2 linked regions of the Xenopus tropicalis genome follow. The protein of the gene in region 1 purifies or fractionates together with the protein of each later gene. This does not show direct contact. Links are inferred from orthologs where the notes say so. Each region holds a gene or a part of one and is shown in the gene's direction. Other genes may lie near its edges.

Evidence for each region.
Region 2: the proteins of yaf2 (region 1) and bcorl1 purify together in Homo sapiens (affinity purification with mass spectrometry; 5 studies listed by BioGRID and IntAct, counting the BioPlex papers as one, with this or other methods). This does not show direct contact. The link is inferred for Xenopus tropicalis from reciprocal best matches to the Homo sapiens genes YAF2 and BCORL1.

Annotation. Positions count from the first base shown.
Region 1 is NC_030679.2:64,862,279-64,866,552, forward strand, and holds the start of yaf2 (YY1-associated factor 2), read left to right. Parts: upstream 1-1,357; 5' UTR 1,358-1,452; coding exon 1,453-1,478; intron 1,479-1,649; coding exon 1,650-1,775; intron 1,776-4,274. UniProt on the Homo sapiens protein: Binds to MYC and inhibits MYC-mediated transactivation. Also binds to MYCN and enhances MYCN-dependent transcriptional activation. Increases calpain 2-mediated proteolysis of YY1 in vitro.
Region 2 is NC_030684.2:55,013,104-55,016,758, reverse strand, and holds part of bcorl1 (BCL-6 corepressor-like protein 1), read left to right. Parts: intron 1-1,452; 5' UTR 1,453-1,534; coding exon 1,535-1,620; intron 1,621-1,819; coding exon 1,820-1,910; intron 1,911-2,858; coding exon 2,859-3,655. UniProt on the Homo sapiens protein: Transcriptional corepressor. May specifically inhibit gene expression when recruited to promoter regions by sequence-specific DNA-binding proteins such as BCL6.

The DNA of each region.
Region 1 (4,274 bases):
TTCAACAAACAAATATTTCAATTGCAATAACATTTACAAATAACTTTAAAACCTATCATGCACAGAGATGATTGGTATATTGCAGAAGCGCCATTACAGTTATTAAAGTGATGGTATTTTACAAAATATATAATCTGACAAAATCACTTTTACTTTCCATTCTGTACTCCCAAATCAATGCCAATTCCAATGTCAATGCCCTCCTCACATTTTCCCTTTCAAATAACTGTCTATAATTGTGTCTGTGCATTGGCATCAGGTCCCCAATTCTGGCACATACACAAGATTTTAAAGGTGATACAAAGTTTCCCTTAATAAAAATGTCCACAAAATTGTGCCTGTGCTTGTGACTGTAAATTGTAAGAATGAATGAAAGAAAATGTAAAGTTTATTTTGCTCAAATAAGACAAAAGAATTTGGAATTATTTCTTAAGGTGACAGGTCCCCTATTAAGACCTTACCATTATTCCTTTTCTCATTATTATTCTGATGTCTCCCAAAACATTTTAAGTTCTTTTTAGCAATGTTGTATAATGTCCCTTGAAAGCATATATTTATTTTTCTGTTATTAGGCACATATCATAATTATGATTTTACCTTTAGTTCCTTCCCCCTGTAATAAGTTTATAGCTATTGAGCATTGTATAAACAACCCCCACCCATAATCAAATAGCTACAGTTTCTGTGAGGCTTTCTGATTGGGGGACTAGTGATTTAAAGCTGCATTTTTCTCTTTTACTGACTTATTCACCACCCTCACCAGATGCTTAGGAGAACCACAGGAAGTTGTAAAGTGAAACTGCTTTTAGTTTAGTTATTGCCCTATTGTGTAATACATGGCAACAATATCGCTTAATTAAAACAACTGGGAAAAGTATGTTGAGTACAAGCCCCGTTGAATGCGTCTGTGTTAAACATGCGGATACACAACTCCTCTAAGTTTGCTGTTTAGCTGAGAGGCCCGGCTGCCTTAGCCTTGCATTGCTTTGGCTCAGTATTCTTTAACTCCATTACTGAGGTAGAGACAGAAGAAGAGCCACGGTCCTTTCAGCTACAGTCGTTTGTGTTGATTATGAGACAACCAGCGGTGTTTGCCAGCGCTTCCTCCATCACACGCTACGTGCGCCTACATTTGCCCTGCGCATTTCCTTGTATCCCCGGGCAGATTTCCTTTATGCTCGGACTTTTTCATGTGCGCTTTCTTTTCCATAGTAATGCCGACCATAAGGCAGCCCCTTACGGCCTCTTCTCCGCACATACATCAAGCAAAGTCGCTTTAGTTTTCCAAGCGGCTCTGGTATTGCTTTGTCGGCCTGTTATTGGTCGCGCCAGGTCACGTGTTGCGGTGGACAGCTGGCTGCGGTTGATCGCGGTCGGTGTAGGCGCCCACTCCCGCCTCATAGCCCGGGCTCTCTCCCCGCTCGGCCTGCGCTCAGCTTCCTCTGAAGCAGCATGGGAGACAAGAAGAGTCCGACCAGGTAAGAGCACGGCTAAAGCAAAAAAGGAAGTAGAAGCTGGTGAGAGGCTGCGAGGATTGCCTAGGCAATCTCCTTTTCACTGTGTTAGAAGCGCCCGAGGCCGGGGCTAGGGGAACAGGCCGCCTTGTCAGCGTGTATGCCCTTGTCTCTAACAATTTCCTCTTCCCCCAGGCCGAAGAGGCAGCCGAAGCCTTCATCAGACGAAGGATACTGGGACTGTAGCGTGTGCACTTTTAAGAACAGCGCCGAGGCCTTCAAGTGCCTGATGTGCGATGTACGCAAGGGAACCTCTACCCGGTGAGCGAGCCCGCCACACAATAACAGCACAGCCTCCTCACTTACTGACATTGTCTTCTTAGCCAGTCCCCACAATACCGCACTTGCCTCACAATTCTCACAATACCGCACTTGCCTCACATGCCGCACTTCCTATCCTGTAGTAACATTGCTGCTGCTGCTACACAATAACAACACATCCGTTTGTCTGAAACAAACAAGCACACCTTCTGCACGGAACATAAACACACAGCTCGGATGTGAACACATTGCAAGCAAAACACCAGCGCACAAATGGTTAACGAATCCCTGCAAGTATAGTAATTGTGATATATTACAGAATCACTTTAGTTCTCCTGTAATTGTGACATATTACAGGAGAACTAAAGTCATTCAAATGGCTATGCTGTTACCCCTGCCCCTACCCCTGTCTTTGGAAAACGCACTGGACTGCAGAGTGTGTAGTCCCAATCCTCTGTGCCAATTATGTTGGGTGCATATACAGTACAGTAATCACCCCTTTCCAGGGAGCTGCAGCGGATGCTGGGAAACAGGCAAGAAAATGGAGGCAACTGTCAAGTAGTCTGGGACAGTGTGCTTTCTAATGAAGACAAACACCAGTGCAGGGCAGCAGGTTAGAGATTAAAATTATATTTTTACTTTAGTTCTCCAGCAAAGACAAAAATATTTAGTGAAACGGCAACAAGATGCTTTTCCTACATAACACCACATAATAAAAAACAGCATCACTTTCAGTTGTCCTGACACAAGGAAAACTATACCTTCAGAATAATATGATGAAAAGTATTTGTTGGGTATTTAAGTGGCCTATTTAAGAATATTTCCAATCTGGAGCATATATATCAGTAAATATTACCCCTTTTACCTTAAGCTGCCGTTTTGTGATGGTCTGTGTGCTCCCTCAGAGATCACCTGGCCAAAAATATTGCATCTCTAACTTTAACAGGAAGTAGTGTGGTAGTAAAAGACAGAACTTCTGTTAATTGGCTGGTATGATGTATGTGTGCCCCATGAATCATGAAAATCATATAATCTGGTGTGGTGGTAGCCCTTAGTACTTAAAATTCCAGTTTTCTATTTTGGAATGACACATACTACTAAAAAAGGTTATTTTTCTAAAAATGGTTTATTTAGATAAAGTAGAGTTTTATATGTTAGCTGTTTTTTTTAATAAATATATAAGAAGTCCTCACGACAGCACCTCACTCCAAAATGCAATTAGATAGCCACCCTTGTGCACAGAATACAAAATAAAACACAACCAGCACCAAGGGTCTTATAGTTCAAACAATCTCAAGTGTATTGCATGTATAACCAACGTTTCAGTCCCTTTTCGGACTTTTTTCGAAAGTGTCTGTTATACATGCAATACACTTGAGATTGTTTGAACTATAAGACCCTTGGTGCTGGTTGTGTTTAAGTTTATTTATATATCCAAAAAAGACCAGCAACACCGAGTTATATTCCAAAAACAATTGTGTATTAAAAACGCATAAACAGCCACAATTGATTGATTTTGGAATATAACTCGGTGCTGCTGGTCTTTTTTGGATATTTAAATCATTTACCTTGCACCGGAGCTAAGAGCTGAAGCAGAGTGCCACCCTGGGTTCACTATATATATATATATATATATATATATATATATATATATAATCTCTTAGGTTTTTTTTTTTTTAAAGAGACCTACATTGTTCTGGGGTATGCTTTTCCTTTAAAGGAACAGTAACACCAAAAAATGAATAAAAGTAGCCAAAATATAATGTGCTGCTGCCCTGCACTGGTAAAAGTTGTGTGTTTACTTCAGAAAGTCTACTATAATTTATATAAATAAGCTGCTATGTAGCCATGGGGGCAGCCATTCAAAGGAGAAAAGGCACCAGCACATAGCAGATAACAGATAAGTTCTGTAGAATACAATAGTGTTTTATCTGTTATCTGCTATGTAACCTGTGCCTTTTTTCCAGCTTGAATGGCTGCCCCCGTGGCTACACAGCAGCTTACTATATAAATTATAGTAGTGTTACTGTAGCAAACACACCAGTTTTACCAGTGCAGGGCAACAGTGCATTATATTTTTATTACTTTAAAGCTCTTGCATTTTTTGGTGTTACTGTTCCTTTAAGCCAGAGGTATCTCCCCTGTGGCTAGGGCTGTTATCTGATGGTAAAAATAGACTTTGTCAAAAGGCAAAATATCCCTTTTGGCAAAAGGGATATTAAGGAAAGGGCAGTTACATTTATTGGTTTCTCAGAAAAAGGTGTCCTTATTGTTGAAATGCATCTGATAGTTTTAAACTTTTAAATTAAGCTCCATTGTTTCAGTGTCAGTGCCTATACACTGGCTGACCTACCAACTGCCCCATTATTTAGTTTGGCTATCCGCTTGCTAAGAAGTGACAGCAGGAGTAGTTTTCAAAAATGATGAAAACAGCAGCACTCCAGTTGTTTTGAAAAATGTGAATCTTTACTCAAGTTCCAAAGGCAACGTTTCGGGCTT
Region 2 (3,655 bases), on another chromosome or scaffold:
GCACAAAAGTGTATAATGCAGGAAAACGTTATAATGGAGCAATGTGATCTTCCAAAACCTGCCAAAACCTGAATATGAAAATATCAAATTTGCTGAAAAATGGGAAAATCAACCTAGTAAGGTTCTATATTATAACATTACCATAACAGATTTATTTGGTCTAAATCTATGCAAACTTTTCAAAAAGTCATTTTTAAAATGCTGTCTTCACTGCCAAAAAGATTCAATCATACTATAATTTCTTTGGTTTTCAGAACATAATTGTAGGTAAACAAATTAGGAGGACTTAGGTTCTGCTGTTAAAATAGCAGGGTAAATCCTAAATGGCTTATGTCAGAAGAAAACAAATATGGTATGGTACTGTATTTTAAGCAGTAATTGGAAGTCCCATGCTCTCTAATTAGAGGTCTGTAACAACTGAACTCTTTTAGTAGGTCTGTAATCGAACAGGACCGATCACTTAGAGTTTTGACCAGTTAAAAAATGACTGGACAGTGAGTGCATGTTCCCTTTGTATTAAACCAAAAACATCCTGTGTAACTTTAGTAGCATACTGCAGTTCTGGTAACCCATGTTTTCCATGTTTGACAGTAAAACAGTTGACTTGGTGTTGGTGATGAGTGGAATCTATTTTTTGCATTGTAATTAGCATCAGGAATACTGAATGACCCACTGTTCTGTTTTGGGTGATGGAGTAGGAAGGTATTTACAAGATCAATCCCTTTTGGAGTAAGATGAATGGGCTTACCATATTTCCAACTTCTGAATCCATAAAATGTATATTAAACAGAACATTTAGAAAATGGTGTTACTATGGCAGCATTTTATGTTCCTTTTTAAGGATTTAAGTGTTCTCATCTAATCAACAAAAAATGTTTTTTTTGAAAAATGGAACTGCTTATTTGTTTGTCAAATATTTATTCATTATTACCTATTATTCTTCCATTTGGTGGTGTTAGACGAGGGGGACTGCCATAATGCATAATGCACAGTAGCGTCCAGTTTGCTTTGAAGTACCCAGAACTCTGTAGCTGAACTGTGAGCAACACTTTAAGACTTAGTTTAAAATAGCAGCTCTAAAGGACATATACCATAGCATGTTTATGTGATCCAACACATCCTACAAAGTTGTAGAGCCTGCCTGAAACCTTCTTGGTAGACCCTTTATTTATATTTCTTCTACTATAATGAATCTTTGTTTAGTTTGTTTTGACCAGTTTCCACAATGTTACAGTATGCCAGTCTTTTCCTGGTGCAAAAATATCCATAGCCCCATTGGTAACAGAGTTTGAAGGCAATTTTTCTTATGCAATTATTACCTTCAGTTATAATATGTCACTAATTTTCAGCAGTGGATCATATTGGCTTTTCCCAGCATGTTTTACACTTAAAGTCTAGTATTTATGCAAATACATCTCTTGAGTGATTGGTATGTATTCTGTTTGCCACCAGGTAAATCTCCTATAGAACACAGAAGACACAACCAGAAGATCTGTGGTCACCTCTCATAGCTTCTTGGGCGTGAGCGCCTGCCATGCTATCGGCCGCCCCGCTTTACAGCGGTGTGCACAACTGGACCAGTGTGGACCGTGTGCGCATGTGCGGCATTAACGAGGACAGGTAACATCCCTTATTAAATCTAAAAATATAAGTACATAAATGAGTAAGGTATATGTAATTAAATACAACTAATAGGAGTGGTGCTGCACCTTTTAATAATTCTAGGTTTGCAGTGGCATGAGCTGAGTACTTATAAACTGAATGAAGTCCAGTTACTCAGCCAACACCCACTATAATTCTCTGCCTTGCCCTTGGACAGGAGAACATCACTATCTGATGAGGAGTCTAAAACCAGCTGTTCCCAGCACCGGGGGTCTGAAGATCATTGTGTAAACAGCTTCTTATCCAAGGTGAGTTTGCAGAAACCTTGTCAATTAGTATTGGATAGAAAGACCACTTTGTAAGTAATTTGTGGGGTTAAGCACAGCCTGCCTACTTTGTCAGTGGATGAACTATGCAGTTAAATGCTTCTATTTGTATTTTGAAATAAAACATTTGCCATTTCATGTTTTAGGCTAATGTCTCATGGAGTGAGATAGTTGCGCGTGATAGATCTCTCCTACTGGGGGGGGTGACTAACCATTCTAGAATGCCTTTCCACCGGCAACAATAGGATTTGCCGGTGAAAAGGCCTACGCATTTCTTTGGTTTTCCGAAGTTGCACAAAGTTGCTTGCAGGAGGAAACGTTGTGCGTCTTTGGAAAGCCGAAGCAATGGGTAGGCCTTTCCACCGGTGACCCCTATTGTTGCTGGTGGAAAGGCGTTTTAAAGCAGTTAGTTGTCTGAGGTAGCAGAGATCTATCCTCCTGCAGGCAACTTTTGCGTGACTTCAGAAAATGAAGTGATGCAAAGGGATTTCCACCGGCCACTCCTGTTGTTGTCGGCTGAAAGTCATTTCAGAGCGGTTAGTCTCCCACTATAGCAGAGATTCTTTTGCCTAATAACAAAAACATAATTCTAAGCAACTTTGCAATAAACATTCTTTACAAATTTGCAATTTTATTTACTTATTTGTATATATAATTGCTATTAGAAGTATTGTTTGCTAGTCCTTTTCTATTCTTTGCCCTGGTGGCTCTGGCATTTGAAATGTGTCCTTTAACTACTGGATGGACACTGTTTTATATTTCTTAAATGTAGTCACTGACTTTTTTTTGTTTTTTTTTTACATAAGGTAACTGACTCTGGTGCCTGGTGACTCTAGCATTTGAAATGTGTCCTTTAACTACTGGATGGACACTGTTTTATATTTCTTAAATGTAGTCACTGACTTTTTTTTGTTTTTTTTTTTACATAAGGTGGAGTTCACGTCAGGAGCCAAACAAAGTGATGCTCTGATGCTTCAGGAAGATGGGGGTGCAGTGGAAACTGGGCAGAGACTAGAGGAGAAGCCCCCAGATTCTATATTAACTTCAGGAGACACAGTGGTACCCAAGGTCCATGATAATACGTTGCCATCAGACAGCAAGCAAGTTACCAACATGTTGGATATCTCCATCCAAGCAACTTCAACTCCAGACAGTAAAAGAACAGAGTCTGCTAGGGCTCCTGTTCCAGAGAAATCTTCTTTGCCTGCTGATGCAGATCATTCTGGGCTGCAAAAAAATGTTCTGGCTGCTGGCTTACAATCAGTAGGTCAGCAAATGGAGGCTTCACACACTGTTGTCTCTTCTAGTTTTGGCACTCTGACTCCTTTTGCTATGAGTAGAATATGTTTTTCTACCACTCAGGTCCCAAATGTGCAGAAACTTCCGCTGTCCTTTACACCTGGAGCAGTCCTATCCCCAAGCCAACCCTTGGTTTACATCCCCCCTCCAAACTGTGGGCAACCTCTTGGTGTAGCTACCTTACCAACTACATTTGGAGTAACGTCAACATTGACTCTTCCCATGCTGCCACCCTGCCTGCAGGAAAGATGCCTACCTAGCATTATAGCACCTACAGAACTGCATGCACATACTTTTACTTCTCCTTTGGGGAGGCCGTTAACCACTGATCCAAAAGTGACTTCAACAGAGTTAAATAAGTCAGCCAGCACAACAGCTTCCATTTCTGCCACTGACCGCCATAGCATTACCACAGCTGTAGACGGTTC